Linked DNA regions of Coturnix japonica. The protein of the gene in region 1 purifies or fractionates together with the protein of each later gene. This does not show direct contact. Links are inferred from orthologs where the notes say so. Each region holds a gene or a part of one and is shown in the gene's direction. Other genes may lie near its edges. The genes, in order: TRERF1, DNTTIP1 and HDAC1.

Evidence for each region.
Region 2: the proteins of TRERF1 (region 1) and DNTTIP1 purify together in Homo sapiens (affinity purification with mass spectrometry; 3 studies listed by BioGRID and IntAct, with this or other methods). This does not show direct contact. The link is inferred for Coturnix japonica from reciprocal best matches to the Homo sapiens genes TRERF1 and DNTTIP1.
Region 3: the proteins of TRERF1 (region 1) and HDAC1 purify together in Homo sapiens (co-immunoprecipitation; 5 studies listed by BioGRID and IntAct, counting the BioPlex papers as one, with this or other methods). This does not show direct contact. The link is inferred for Coturnix japonica from reciprocal best matches to the Homo sapiens genes TRERF1 and HDAC1.

Annotation. Positions count from the first base shown.
Region 1 is NC_029518.1:20,297,568-20,302,734, reverse strand, and holds the start of TRERF1 (transcriptional-regulating factor 1), read left to right. Parts: upstream 1-1,896; 5' UTR 1,897-2,013; intron 2,014-2,135; exon of another isoform or gene 2,136-2,307; intron 2,308-5,167.
Region 2 is NC_029535.1:9,477,487-9,482,514, forward strand, and holds the start of DNTTIP1 (deoxynucleotidyltransferase terminal-interacting protein 1), read left to right. Parts: upstream 1-1,610; 5' UTR 1,611-1,673; coding exon 1,674-1,760; intron 1,761-1,841; coding exon 1,842-1,912; intron 1,913-2,035; coding exon 2,036-2,132; intron 2,133-2,259; coding exon 2,260-2,358; intron 2,359-2,617; coding exon 2,618-2,686; intron 2,687-3,017; coding exon 3,018-3,074; intron 3,075-3,311; coding exon 3,312-3,373; intron 3,374-3,789; coding exon 3,790-3,835; intron 3,836-4,267; coding exon 4,268-4,326; intron 4,327-4,515; coding exon 4,516-4,576; intron 4,577-4,965; coding exon 4,966-5,028. Other genes in the region: aspartate and glycine-rich protein-like, read right to left, coding at 1-19. UniProt on the Homo sapiens protein: Increases DNTT terminal deoxynucleotidyltransferase activity (in vitro). Also acts as a transcriptional regulator, binding to the consensus sequence 5'-GNTGCATG-3' following an AT-tract.
Region 3 is NC_029538.1:4,507,563-4,512,604, reverse strand, and holds the start of HDAC1 (histone deacetylase 1), read left to right. Parts: upstream 1-1,691; 5' UTR 1,692-2,076; coding exon 2,077-2,253; intron 2,254-2,664; coding exon 2,665-2,782; intron 2,783-4,090; coding exon 4,091-4,165; intron 4,166-5,042. UniProt on the Homo sapiens protein: Histone deacetylase that catalyzes the deacetylation of lysine residues on the N-terminal part of the core histones (H2A, H2B, H3 and H4).

The DNA of each region.
Region 1 (5,167 bases):
TGTCCAAAGCTAATAACCTACTTGCCTTCATTCAGAAATTCTATGTATGTACTTGTTATGGCAGAGCAATGCAGGTCGAGCTCACAGCACGTCAGGCGGAGGCCAGATAATGATGCTTTGTTCAAATTTAAATTATACCATTCATTTGCTTTTGCTTTGAGAACTGCAACTCAAGCCCGCGAGCTTCAGTTAAATGAAGTACCACCTCACCAACTCAATGTGGATCTGTTCACATCCATCGGTTGAACAAGTTGAGATGCTGAGAGAAAGCTATACAGACTGTTCTATCACACAGCTTATTTTCAGAAGTCATTTTGGAAATCGCAAGCAATATGGGCTATTCTGGGCTTCAGACTAGACTCAAAAAACAAACAGAGGCAAGGCACACGTCGAGCTGTGGTTTCAATTCTATTTTCAACATAGTTTATGTGACTTGGGACTCCAGTGAGCAAACAAGCCATCCATTGAATCCAAAACTCAGTGTAGATTCTGCACAGCTCAGCACGGCAGAGTTACAGTATCTGAATGCGATTCTTCACTTAAGTAAAAATAAGATTAGAAAATGACTGGCTGGCTGGGGAAGGAAAATGAGACCTCGCTCCTGACGTCTTCAACAGTGGAGACCTTTGCATGGGGCGCAGAGGAGCCAGCAGCCAGCGGGTGATATCATGCCTTTTCAGTCTGCTCTAATCTGCACTGTAAATCAAAACGATCTCATAAAAGGTTAAATTATTAAGAACGGTGTCCCAATAGAAGTGTCATGCAACCAAGAAACCGGGATGACCATAAAAATGAAACGAGGCTGCTGGTAACCATTACAACGTAAGGCTGAAACAGAGACGCTAACACGCCACAGCCCTATTTCTGTTGCAGCCGTAACCAGGGAGAGTTTTGTCTTTTTTCTTCTTCCTTCTGTTCTGAAGGCAGAAGTGGGCCCTCACCACCGCCCCGTTTCGGTTTCTCTCTCCCCAGCCATGGTCTCTGGCAGTAACTCCCTGAGCTCACACGGAGCGCCGCAGGAGTCGCGCGCACCGCGTCTCCGTCCTCGAGATGCGAAATCCTTCCCCGCAAGGGAACGTTTTGGTGCAATGTAACGTATATTCCCAGCTCGAGGGAGGCAGGGCCGGGAAGGAACGCCACCAGAACCCTCCTGCGGAATTAACGGGGAAAGAAAGGGACAGCTTAAGACTAGCAGTGGCAAAAACCAGCGACCTGAGCGGCAACTTTCCACGGGGCTCGCTGTGCGAGAGCGTGAACTTCCCGGTTAACCCTCAGCCCGCCCGGAGCCGCCCGGCCCGCTGACAGCCCGGCACAACTTTCCTCTCCGGCGCCGCCGCCGCTTCCCCCCGCCCCAGCTCGGCCTCGGCTTCTCCGGGCGGTGGGGCGGGGGGGTGAGGCGGCCCGGCCGCTCCCTCACAGCCCGGTCGGCGGGACCCCATCTCCTTCAGCCGCCGCCGCCGCCGGGCGCCCCCTCCCTCAGCGCCGCGGGGGAGGGACGGCGGTGCCGCCGGCCGGGCGGGAGCCGGAGCCGGCCCCGTCCCCTCCGCCCTGCGGCATGCGGCGCCGGGAGCCCGCGGCCGGCCCGAGCCCCGCCGGCAGCCGCTGACAGCTCCCCGCCAGCCGCCCGGCACCTGCGCCGAGAGGAGGGGCCGCACAAGGGGGGGCCGCGGCTCGGCGGAGCGGGCGGAGCGGGCCCCGGGGGCGGCGGGCGCCCCTCGCCCTCGCCCCGCCGCGGGGCCGGGCGGCCGCGGCCGCGGCGCCGCCGACACCTTACTTCCTGCTTCGCTACCCAGAGCCAGACCCATCGCGGCGGAGGGATCCCGTCGCCTCCAGCTGCCTCCTCCCCCTTCTGCTTCTGCTTTTTTTTTTTTTCTTTTTTTTTTTTTTCCTCCTCGCTCTTTTGCGAGAAAATAATTTGACAGCGATTTGCTGACAGCGGGATTTCGTGCATCACGGGCGAGAGACGAGAGAAGGGCGGCGCGGCCGGAGCCGCAGCGGGAGGCCGTGCCGGAGGTAAGCGCCCGCTCCGCAGCCTCCCCGCGGGGCGCGGACCCGCCATGTGCCGGGCGGGCGGGGGCCGGGCCGGGTGTTGGCGGCGGGGCCGGGCCGGGCCGTGCGGGCCGGGGGAGTTGCGTTTCCTGGCGGAGCGATATTTGTTTACGGGCTGCGCCGTAAGTAAAGTAGGACCCGGCCCCGGCGGCGCGGTGATCAATTAATAGTGCGGTCGCTCTCGCGGCTCCCAAAAAGAGAGAAAAATCAGAGCCCCTCGTGCCGGCCCCCGTGCACTTGTTGCAGACTTGGCGCCAGGTAGGGCAGCGCTTCGCAAGTTTCATTTTTGCATGAGCCGGGGCTTCGCTTGCAGAATTAAAAAAAAAAAAAAGAAAAAGAAAAAAAAAAAAAAAAAGTTTGCAGCTGACTTTCGGTCCGCAGCGCCGAGGCCCTGCCCGAAGCCGCCTCATCCTCCTCCTCCTCGCGGGGCCGCGGTGGGGGCTGCCCGGCCCCTACCTGCCCGCTGCTCCGGGCTGCTCCGGGCGGGGCCGGCGGTACAGCCGTGCCGAGAGAAGGGACGGAGGGAGGGAGGGAGGGAAGGAGGCGCGGGGCGGCCGCGAGGAAGTTGTCAGTGCGCGGGGCCGGGCGGGGTGTGCGCGTCCCACGAGCCGCCGAGGGACCCACGCGTGTTCCCGAGCGAGGTGGCGGCATCCGAAGGGTCACGGCGCGGAGGTGCCTCGCAGGGTATAGGGGATGACTGCTGCTCTACCCATAGAGTGGGAAAGTGCTGGAGTGCGGGACGGCTGGGGTGTGTGTGCTGTCACAGTGCGGGGTAATGACCAAAAGCTGCCAGCCAGATGCTTAAGTAGCGGAGGGATGATTTGCAAGTGAAATGAACTGGCAGTTCACCAGTCAGTAAGTGGATAATGCCTACTCATCCTCTGCCGGCTTCTCAGATCGGTTTCGTTCCCGCCGCCCAGGCTGGAATAGCCAGGGTGTGAAACTCGGTGACGCCGACACGCTCACCCAGTAGCATCCGACCTCTTGTCGTGTCCCGGCACAACCACGCCGACCACCACCAACACCAGTGATGTTCGTAGGGTTTTACAAACTAATCTCATAGCGGTGAGATAGATACAGTGACCCATAGCTGAACTATTTATGGCAAACGCTGCAAAGCGCTTAATTGTGTGTTAAGCGGGTAATAACAAGGGTGAAGTTTTGTATCTCTGACAACTGTAATTCTGCTGCATGTGCTTCAGAGAGCCCTATGGGCCAGCCTGGGCCTTGCCCTGCTGCCCTGCATCCCAGCTGGCCTGCGGGCACTGTGCTGGGGCTGCCTCCTTCCTTGACTGGAGGCTGTGCTCCAGTCAATTCCTCATAATGTTTCCCTAGAAATGCCCATTTCACTTTGTCACCCGCCGTGGGGACATGGCATAATGTTCCTTGTACGTTCTCAGACATGGGGTTTGATTTTTGGGTGTTGCTGTATGAAGCCAGGAGTTGGACTCGGTGAACTTTATGGATCCTTAACAACTCAGGATATTCTATGATTCATTGTTACCTGCTTTTTTGAGCCTTATCCAAGGTTGGAATTTTAACATCCCAAGTGCTGCTTCATCAACACTCCATCTATGCATATATGGTGTGGAAGTTAACCTGTGGCTTTGTAGTTTGTAAAATAAGGTCATGCCAAATAGACTGTTAAGTTAGAATTTAGATAAGCAATTCTTTCATATAAACAAAACATATTGTGCGTTTTTCTTCTATAGCTAATTATCTCATGTACTTTAGAAAAAGGAGAGGCTCCTATGTGCTGCACTCCAAGCTTTTGTTGCAAATAAATGCTTTTATGATCCTTTCTGCTGCAGCTGATAAGTAGATCAAGTTTCTAAAGTTGGGAGACTCCAGCAAGGGGCTGAGTAGCATTATCAGGGCGTCAGTCAAACCAGCATGTCTGAAAAGCTCAAATACGAGTAATTCAATTTGAATGGCATAATAGATCACATAGGCTTCACTGTGGATGCCAGCCTGGGCACAGAGCGTGGGCTCAGCCTGTAGGTACAGTGGTAAGGGTGGCACTTGGCAGCCCTGTCATTTCTGAGTGCCCTGCCCTGGGCACAGTGGGGCCAGGTAGGGTCCTGTGAGTAACCATAGCATGAACAACCTCCCTATCTAACTCTGACTCATGTTACATTTGGAGGCTGAATAAAATCTCCATGTGATATGCACTTTGTGTTGTTGGCCTCTGCCGATCACGTGCCTCTGGTTTGGGTTTAGGACCACAGAGCAAGTCCTTCTTTCAGGTTACTTTGCTTTTGGGAAGCACTCAACAGGACTGGGTAGGAAAAGGGACTTAGGTTTTGAGCTAGGTTTTAAGCTCAGAATTCCATTGCACGTGCTTCTTCAGGCCATTTCCAGGGATACACGGAGGTTTGCTGTTGTAAACCAAGATTGTAATTTAGCATCTGGTAACGAGTGTGAGAAAAGTATAAAAAACCCAGTCATGTAACCTACTGCAGCTTTCCTAAAGCAGTGAGATAATATACTGCTCTGAATGTTTTAAACTGCTGTACTTTTGTTGCAATCTAGCAGGGAATATATGTCTCTAAGAGAGTTGCTTGGCGAGGGCCTTCCTCCCCTTTCCCAGTTCTGTAAAGAGCGGTGAGCTGAGGGAGAGCAGCCCTGGGATCTGTGGTGTCATTGTGAGATTCTGGTGCTGGGAGGCTGTGTCTCTTTATGATGTGTCATAGCAACTTGCGAGATAAGGCAGTTTCATTTCAGCTTCCTTAGAAATACTTCAAAAAACAAAAAAACAAACAAAAACCAACAGCGTTTGATAGATGAAAAGTAATTTGTGATGTGGCAACAAATTGTTTCTTCTCTTAGGCCTTTTTTGATACTGTATAGCTTCCAATGAGGAACTGTGATCAGAACGGTATAATTTTCTGCCTATAAAACCAGGGGGATTCTTTTGCCCTCTCCCACACCTCTGCAATGGAGATAACCACATCTACAAGTGCAGATGTCAGTTTTGCCTGGTCTTGGCTTCCAGGCTCTCCTATACTTACGCAAGTTCAGCAGCACCAGCAGTGGCAGTGAGCAGCTGGATTGCTCTGCCTGTCAGTGTCGTGGGGTGGGGAGCTGTGTTTGGCACTACAAAAATGAAGGCAGCAAA
Region 2 (5,028 bases), on another chromosome or scaffold:
GCCAAGCACCCCCCCGCATGGTGCCAGCACCCTGCCCGCACGGCGCCCAGACGGGATTTAAGCTACAGCAGAGAGGCGGCCCCGGGCACCTCCCACGTCCTGCGTGCCCCGTGGGACACCCGCAGCAGCAGGGCAGGAGGAGACACCGGAACACCGGGCTGCGGCCAGCCCGATTCTCGGCCCATAAACCCTTAATGGGCACTGGTAACATCAGAGCTCCTCGTTCACCCCCAGGGGCACCTTCCCAGATTGCAGAGCAAGATTTCCCCCCCTCCATTGCCCCGGAGGAGCTCAGCTCCACCTGTGCAGGGTTGAATGTCAATGCTGTAGCTTGTTATGCTTTAAAACCAGCAGGAATAAATGTCTCCTGGCAGACAGAACACGGAGTGCCGCAGCACTGAGTGGAGGAGAGCTGCCCAGGGCAGGTATTACAGCTCAGCTCCATGCTGCCAGCCCCTGCCCTGTGTTTGCATTGAGAGTGAACAAAGAATTCAGTGTGCCACCATGTTTATGTCTCTCCTCTGCACCAGGAGCATCTCTACCACTGTCAGCATGTGCAGGTCACTCTGTGTGAAAGCTCAGAAGGCAAAACTGCTTCAGAAAGCTTCGTCCAAATGGTGGCAAAGGCCACACATGGGCAGCACTGGGGCCATGTGTTCAGCAGTGGGAAGGCGCAGGGCCTGCATGCCACCAAACCTGCGTGGGAAGGAGGCTTACTGCAAGAAATGAGCTCGAAGTACAGGTTTCTTCCACTCCTCGTGGCCATGACTCAGTTCTGGAGCTATTTCCCTTGTGAACCGCCCCTATCCGCTGCAGTCCCTGTGCCCCACATCTCAGCTCGATGGTGTCACCTCTGTGACCATGGTGAGCAGAGCTCCCTCGTGCCACAGTTCCCTGCCACCTACTGTGCTGTCCGGAGCCCTCCAAGCCCCAGCAGGAGGGGCAGCTCAGCACAGTGTCGGTGCTGCCACTCGTGGGTCTCTGCCCAGCACAAGAGCAGACAGCGGTACCCAGCGGTGCGCTCGCAGCAGGTGGCACTGACGTTGTGTTCCGAACACCCCACAGGAGAGGTGTGATACGGTGATGATAACAGTGCAATTATCTCCATTACTCTTTAGCCACAGATTACTATCTGCTTCCTATCTGCCTCGAGAATGACAAAGGCACGGGGTGAATCCAGCCGGTGGCAGTGACTCAGGGCACGGCCTAAGGGGCAGCACAGCACAGTTATGAGCTAATGGGAGCTGCCAGGGCACTGCCGTGCAGCTACAAAGGCAATGCCATCCTGCCCTGCTGCAGCCCCGGCCCCCTTGGGCACAGCACCGTCATTACAGCACCGATACAGCTCCGTGCATCCAAACATCGGTCATAACACAGAGAATTAAGAAGTTAAATGTATTACAGCCATGTCTGCGTACAGCAATGAGCTTTCCGGTAAGCTGAATCCCACAGGTCCCGGCTCCTCACAGCCCCACGGCGGGGCAGCACGGGGCGGGGGATGGCGGCCAGGCGGGGCAGGAAGCGGGCAGGGATCACCGGGCACCGGGCAGGGATCGCCACGCCGGACCCACCCGCCGGAAGCCGCTGCCACTTCCGTCGCGCCACGCGTGTCGCGTTCCGATGACGTATTGAACCCGGTGCTTCCGGAAGCGGCGCCGCGGGCCCGGAGCGCGATGGGCGCCGCCCGTGACGCCGAGCAGCAGCCGGGGCCTCCGGGAGAGGAGGGACCGGGAGGAGGCGAGGAGCAGCCGGGAGGAACGGTGAGGGGGGAGGGAGGAGGAGGAGGTGGAGAGGGAGGACGGGAGGGAGGCGGGCTCGGGGCTGACGGTTGTGTCCCGCAGAGCCCGTGGAACATCATGATCAAGCATCGGCAGGTGCAGCGGCGCGGCCGGCGGTCACAGATGACAACCAGGTACCGGAGGGACCGGACAGCGGGGAGGGATGAACCGGAGCGGGGCTGGGATGGGCCTAAAGGGAGGGAATGGGGGCACCGGGATAGTGCCTGCACCGGGACTGACTCCATGTGCTCACACAGCTTCACCGACCCGATCGTGTCCATGGACCTGCTGCGAGCCGTGCTGCAGCCCAGCATTAACGAGGAGATCCGGGCTGTGTTCAATAAGTACATGAAGGTGAGTGGACAGGGAGCAGCCACGGCATCTCAGAGGACCCAGCCCTGCACACTGTGTGAGGGCAGCTGGGTGCTGCACCCTGGATGGAGTTTACGTGGCTGCTGACATCATGCTGCTCCTCCCCCAGTTCTTCCAGAAGGCAGCACTCAACGTGCGAGACAACGTTGGGGAGGACGTGGATCCAGAGCAGCTGATCCAGGAGACGTGTCGGAGCTGCCTGGAGCAGGTGGGTACAAACACACGTGAGACTATTTCTGGGATGGGACCTGGGGGCAGATAGACCCAAATCTTTAGTCTGTAGTGGCCAGATGTCAATAAAGAGTTTGGTCTTTAGATGTGGCCTTTATGTTTCACATGGTCTGGGGCTTTCCCATCAGCACAGGTGCCTTTGAAGATGGATCTTCTCATCACAGGGTGAAGCAGGGGTTGTTGCTGGTAGTCCCCCTTTCCACCCAGAATAGGTGACCTTCCTTCTCTTTCTACAGGCCAAGCTGCTGTTCTCAGATGGCAAAAAAGTTGTGTCCAGGTTGCCCCACGAGCAGATGGGACCAAAGGTAAAAGTTGTTGTTCATGGAGGATTAAATGATTTGTAAGAGCTGGGAGGAATAGAATGACGGGGTTGGAATTATCTACTAGCTGTGCAAGTGAGGAGGTGGAGCTGGGAAATGTTTGTCTTGTGGGGAAAGTAACTTACAGACCAGTGCAGACCCCAGGTGCAGCATCTGAGTGCTTTGCACTGCTATGGGCTGCCTGCAGAGTTTGTCTGTGCCCTTGTGCTCTCTGCCTTAAGTCAGCAAATGAGAGCTGCAGGCTGTGTGCTTGGGGCCCTGCCTGGCTGGGATGGGAGAAGGGTTTGTCTCCATCCTCCCACCATTCCTCTTCCAGCGTGCCCGACAGATGGATGAGGAATTGAATCGTCGAGGAAGCCCCCTTCCCAAAAAGGTAGGAGGGTTTTCCACATGAGGGATTTTATGTTTTGGGAGATCTGTTCCTTGCTCCTGTTACCACAGTATGAGCATGTGCAAGTATGAATGGTTTTTGTGAAGGCTCAGAGGTGCTTGTTCTCATGCTGTTGTTGTGCTTGTGGTAGAAAGAGCTGCTTCTGTAGGATGGAACAGATAATCAAAAGGGTCCTTTCTATGTGCACAGTTGAATGACTGAAGGATTTCTTCCATGCAGAGAAAGGGACGGCCTCCAGGACAGAGCCTGTCAAACGATCGTGGGGTCTCAGGCATGTCTGCGTGAGTATGGGCCTCAAGCTGCTGCCCGTGCTTTGGGGGGGCAGCGGGAAACAAAACTGCCTGAAGTAAGGGGCACCAAAACCTGCAGTGTCCTTCCCCCTGCACAAAAGAGAGGTGTAGGGGGGGATGGCAAAGGGCAAGAGAGTTTTGGCTGAGGTTGAGTCACAGGAGGCAAAGCCTTCCAGGGAACTGTTTTAAACAGGGCCAAAGGATGTGCAGAACCAGGTGGATGATTCAGTGAGCTGTGTGTGACACAGCTGCTAACAGGGAACACAGCAGAGATGGGGCTTCAGAGAAGGTGTGAGAGGGTGGATCTGGAAAGGCTCAAACTCAGATTCCTGCCGCTGGGAGCTTGTGGTGTCTGTCTGCATTGATCTTTCTAGGACCTGTTCTTATTTCACTTTCCTTCCCTTCAGGTGGAAGCTCAAAGTCTCTGAACCTGTGAGAAGGGATGGACCAAAGGTATTGGCTGGCTGATGCTGCTGGGCTCACCCTCTCCTCCCTTCGCTTCCGCTAGCAGAGCCCTGCCTGCAGCGGCAGCACAGAACAGACCTAGGTTGTGCCCTACTCTGCTGAGTCTCTACAGTGCCTGGAAGCCTTTGCTTGCTTCCTCCAGGCACTGTAGCTCTGTGGTGTGGTGCAGCTGTTAGGAGACATGGGGAGAGCCTTAGTGGTAGCCAGGAGGATCCCACAAAGCGTTTCCTACAAGGGAAACAGCTTAGATCAGCCCAAGGTGGTGCAGTTTCCTTCCTCTGTGGCAATCCAGAGGTTTGTGGCTACCTCCCTCCCTCCCAAATCAGTTCTTAGGTTCCCCGTCAGAGAGCTGAGGCTCGTGGAGCATTGGCTGGCACCAGCTTCATTTCTAATGTTGCCCCTTTTCCAATTGCTCTGTAGTGGGATCCATCCCGACTGACTGAAACCACAACCTTTGTGCTGGGATCTCGAGCAAACAAGTAAGGAATGGCCCTGTTGATGGAGGGTGGTGTCTCCCAGGCAGGAGCCCGTAAGACTCCTCCCGTCACTTCACTTCTCTGCCTCGAAAGCAGTAGGAAGGGCTGGGGCCTGGGGAGGAGAGGAGGTGCCCCGTGCTGCTGCAGGGCCCCTCTGTCCCAGTGTAACACCCCCTTGTGTTCCTTTTTCAGAGCTCTCGGGATGGGAGGAACAAGAGGGCGACTCTACATCAAGCATCCCCACCTCTTTAAGGTCAGATACCACAGCAGGATGCCTCCTCCTTTGGGGTTTGTTCAGAAGCAGTTTGTGATGGGAACTGGGTGTGTGCGCTTTGACTCGCTTGGCTTTTCCTCCCCACGCCCCATTTGTTGTCTTAGAGCACGTACACACAACCTGGCCAGCACACTGAAACACGTTAATGGTAGCACAGCCTCTCAGGTGCTGGTTTTGCCCAGAGTCAGGGTTTTATTTGAGAGCAGAGCAGGCAGGGCTAAGCCCTCCCTCTGGGAGCCCCCAGCACCGTGCTGTGGGGGTGAGGTGCTGGCAGCAGAGCACTGGAACGGGCTGTGCCCCGCAGGAGGGTGGTCCAGGTGGGAGGTCTGCGTCCCGTGTTCAGCCAGGTCCTTGCTGCTTTATTGCAGTACGCAGCCGACCCGCAGGATAAGCAATGGCTGGCAGAGCAGCAGCACCTGAGGGCCACTGGG
Region 3 (5,042 bases), on another chromosome or scaffold:
GTGGTTCTTTATTTCATTCTAGTTTGCAGTCTGTGAAGTTAAATAAAAACTTTATTCCTTTTCTTTTTTCCCCCGGTAAGTGGATGTGTTCCACACTCAAACAATAAAGTGAGCTCTTCTAAACTGCTTTCTGTGTTGGGCAGGTAGTGAGGGCTCTCATTTCTTCTCAGAAGCAAACATGAGCAGTAGGATTGCATCCTGTGGTGGTGGCCCTGAGTCTTCAGGCAGGGTGAGGAGGAGGAAGGGATCAGAGCAGCAGAACTGCCTGAATTCAGCACACAAGCTGCCTGTGGAGCCCCAGCATCTCAAAGTGCAGTTTGGGGCTGGAGCCCTGGGCTCAGTCAGGCCCAGTTTAAGCACAGAGTGCTGGCAGGAAGCGGCAGGGTGCTGGTTATGCACAAGCAACCCGGGTGTGGAAGATCTCTCTGTGTCCAAACTTCTCCCTCCTTAGAATCTTAAGGTGTTCACAGGGATACTTTCCAGTTTACCAGCTAACATCCTTCAAGGCATGAGATGGTCTGTTAAACACAGAATAAGTGATCATCTTGCTGTGAATGCTAAGCAGAATTATATCCTTATGGTCCTTATTGCACGGTAACAAAATGAAGTTAGTGTTATTCCCCCTTGCCTGTAGCTGCCCTCACCCATTTACTCTGTGGGGAGGTTTTAGTGGCTTGTTTCCACTGCTCTTTTATGAGGGGCTGGCAAACATTCACAGGGGGGAGCTCATTGAGCTGTGGGGAAGGGTCTGGGCTGAGTGGAGAGGTTGGGGAAAAAGAAATGTGGTGTGGAGGGGTCCTTCATGTTCATGTTGAGGTGAGTTGGGGCTGCGTATGGGAAATTCTCTTTTGTTCCAACATGGGGCTCTGCTTAACCCAGCAGACAGGAAGAGGTCTGTGTTGAATTCTCACACTTAATGTGCACCCATTAGCACTGCTGAGCTCAGTGCAGCGTGGTAGGACTTGTGGTGAGACACGTCTGGGGTCTTGCTGGCAGCCCAAGGGAAAGAAGGGAGGCAATACATTTGCAAAGCTTTGTGTGTGTGTTTCCTAGATATAGTTTTGAACACCCCCAATGGCTCCCCAAAGCTTAACATACCCTGCTTTTGCTGTAGGAAGTGTTTTGGTGCAGGCAAAACCCACCTCCTTTCACTGTAGCATCACACAGATGAACTCCAGCAGCAGAATGGTTTGGGTGTGGGGTTTGCATGTCCTTTAAATGGAAGCTCATGCCCATGGAGGAGGCATCACGGCTGTGTGCTGCGAGGAAGTAGCAGTTTCTCCTGTATGTTAAGATTGGTGATGAAATATTAATGCTCCCAGCTGAGTCACTGGGCAGACCGGGTTGAGTCTCTTGCTTCGTAAGCTGATGGGGAGCTGTAAAACTATGCCAATGACTTAGTTTGATTTCTCAACAACATGAGGCTTGTGCAGCGTCGCTGCTGCGTGTGGCTCAGTGCGTTCCCTGCTTTTGGCAGCACTTCTCATGGCCACGTCAGGCAGGGACAGAAACCTGAGTTAAATTCTATGGAAAACACCACGGAAATGTGTGACCTGGGAGAGGAGGGAAAAAGCCAGTGGGAGATGGCAGCAGGAGCTCAGCTTTTACTGGGAGGAGGAACATCTGCATGGGGAGCTGAGCTGTGGGGTGTAATTGTGAGGTGCCGACTTAAATTAACCTGGTGAAGGATTTCCAAAGGGTTTCAGGCAGTAATAAGGGATGGGAATAATGGGAGCTGTAAAGCTATAGCTGTGCTGTGATTTGCTTATTGACAGAATTGGCAGCTTGTATCTCATGTCTGCTGGGTAAACAGTAGTAAACTGAGGCAAAGTGGCTACGTGTGCTGGCTGGTGAGTCATTGTCTGAGCTGGGATTAAACTCCTGTGCCTCCTGGCTTGCAGGTTTCTGCTCAGAGAGCTCTGTATTTCTTAGGGAAGCCCCATACTTGGCCATACCCTGTTGTCCATAAGGCAGTCTTGTTTGGGTCTGGGATAAAGCTTTCTGATGGTGCAGATGCATGTGCAGCCCCTTCCCCCTGTGAACAGATGGGCTGCTGATGGGCACATGAGATGACAGATGTGGTTGTATTTGAAGCAGTTCGTGTTTTTCCCTGCTGTAACAAAATCCTTTCTGTTCCCAGGTGATGTTGGAAACTATTATTATGGCCAGGGACACCCCATGAAGCCCCACAGGATCCGGATGACCCACAACCTACTGCTGAACTACGGCCTTTACAGGAAGATGGAGATATATGTAAGTGTGATGAAAAAACAAGTGTGTTGTCAGTTGTAATTTTGGTGCTTCAAGCTCTTAAATTCTCTTTGACAAGCCAAAGAGGAAAGTGAAAAAGGATTAAATGGTTGTGTTGACATATTTCTGCTGCATTCTGATTCCTTGCAGTGAGATGTTCTTTGCTTCAGATAAGCTTTGGAGTCTGGAAAATTGGTTTGCTCTCAGTAGCTTAAATATTTTCTGTACCTGGATATGTAGTATGTTCCAGTCTCTGGTAATGGCTTTTTTGCCTTTGAAAATAAATTTCTCTTGTCTAGTGCTGCTGCTTCATTTACTTATTTTATTATTTTTGCTGTTTCTGGGAGTAAATCTGAGACTGGAAATGGGATGTGGGGAGGGCAGTGTTCCCAACCAAACCCTCTGTCCTTGCAGCGCCCTCACAAGGCGAACGCGGAGGAGATGACCAAGTACCACAGTGATGACTACATCAAATTCCTGAGATCCATCCGCCCAGACAACATGTCTGAGTACAGCAAGCAGATGCAAAGATGTAAGCTGTGTGTGTGGGGCTGTGTTCATGTCAGTGCTAAGTGTTGTGCGATTGTATCTGTCTGCTTTGTGTCAGAATCTTCTTTCTTTTTCTGTGAGATAACCAGTTCCTTTAACCTCTGCAGTCCATGAAGGTGCTGAGGATCTCTTGGCAGCTTTAATGCTACAGAAACCTTTCCTTTTTTCGGTCTGTCTTAAACTCTGAGGTGATGTTTTGTATCAGGTCATAAAGGCAAATAGATGGGGGAGGCTCAAGTCTCTTTTAATCATTAGTTTGATACACTGCATTCCTTGAGAGCAGGAAAAAAGAGAAAAGCCCACAGGATCCGTTTATGTCAAATGTGATTTCCAAATTAAAAGAGATACGAGTCCTGAGCCTGCAGTAAGGGCACTTGAAACCCTGGTATTAGCTGAAAGGGACAGATGTTTAGGCACAAGCACATAATAGGAATGAATAGTATGGTTCACAAGTAATATACATTGAAAGACCTCCTATAGTAAATAATTTGACTTAATATACCAAAGAATGTATTTACACAAACTGAACTGTTTACCCCTGAAGCTGATACGGCTCACAGACACCCACTCTGCTCTCTGGTAGTCAACGTTTTCTCTATTCTATTTCCACAGAACTGTTTTTAACTGAAGGAGGCGAAATATGAAAATTAATCTTAAACACACAGAGGGCAGATCTTTTATTCAGCAGGGAGAGGAAACCCCTGCCTTTGCTTTCTTGGGAAGAACAAGCTTCTGCCTGGCTGAGAAACTTGCACCGGAGGCTCAGAGCAGAGGGGAAGGAGTTTTAAAATGTAGATTTAACACAAGCCTGCTGTTAGTGTGTTTAATGGCAGGGGGTGCTGCCTCCTTCCTGCACAGTGTGTGCATGGCCCTGCTGAGCAGCACCAGCTGCCAAATAGAGCCCAGCACAGTCAATGTGCCAAACGTGAGGGCCTGTGCTGGTACAGTGCAGCTCTCATGGGCAGCATCTCTCCCTGCACGCTCCTTTCTGAGATGATTGACTGGTTCCTGCCTCCCTCTGAGCCTTCACCCGGTAGGTGGCGTGACTGTCCCACTGCAGCTCCTGGCACCTGCTGAGCTGGGAGCATCCTTCCATAGCAGCAAACCATGCAGGCAGTGTTGGTGGGACCACCTTCATGTCCTGTCATTTGTGTGTTTTTCAGTTTGTTTTTCAGTTGATTAAAGTCCTTATCAGGCTAGGTTTTGGGTTTTTCTTTAATCAGACAGGTAGTACAAGCTTTACCAATGCTTTGTGACTTGGTCTTACTAATTCTTATGTATTCTTTTCAAGTTAACGTCGGGGAGGACTGTCCTGTGTTCGATGGGCTGTTTGAGTTCTGTCAGCTCTCTGCTGGAGGCTCAGTTGGTAAGCTCATCCGTCGTACAGTCTTTTCCTAAGCAGATTTACATCAAGTTGTTCTGCAAAAGTGATTTGTTGTAGGTGGGGGTGGGGGAGCCCTATGAGCCTATTTCTGACTTCCTCAGGTTGAGATTTCTCCCCATGCTGGAATTCCAGCTTTGCATTTTGACAGACCCCTCTGCGTTTGTTAAATGTATCTTTATTACTCTGAGCTACTTCTTGGATGACTCCACAAAGGTGATAGACAGAACCCTGACAGCAGTGGGGTTTTACCAGTAATAATTAAAAATAAGTAATGTGAGCTGCACAGAAAAGCAAAGGCACAGAAGTTGCCTGGTGTAGGTGCCAGCTAAAAAGCAAGAAAGGGTTATTTTTCTTGTTCTTAGCAGAAAGCCAATGTCTCTGGCCATGAGGCAGAAGCTGGAACATTTAAAACACTTTGTACCAAGGAGATGTGGTACTTCAGGACTGTGATACTGTGCATCTACAGTAGGGCTTTGTGTCTGCTACTCCCCCAGTGACATCCAGCAATCTTGGCTTCCTGTCACACAGTTGAGCAGTACCTACCAGTGCTGACCGCAGCGTTCTGATGTTGTTTCTTGAAGTAGCTGTGCTTTGTGATCCCAAGATTGTGCGTCCCCAGAATGTATCACTTCTGTTAATCCTTGGAGACTTGCAAAACTGCAGAAAGTTTACAAAGGAGCCGTGGGAGAGAATGTTCCTTGTCTAAATGCGTATTCAGTGACTGACCTAAATATATATTGGGTAAAACCTTTCCTTAAAGTCCATTGTTTGGCACACTGGGAATTCTGGGCTGTTTTCGTGTGTGAGCTGGGCTAGAAAGCTGTGCACTTATTTGTGCAGATCTCGTGCTCTGAGGTGT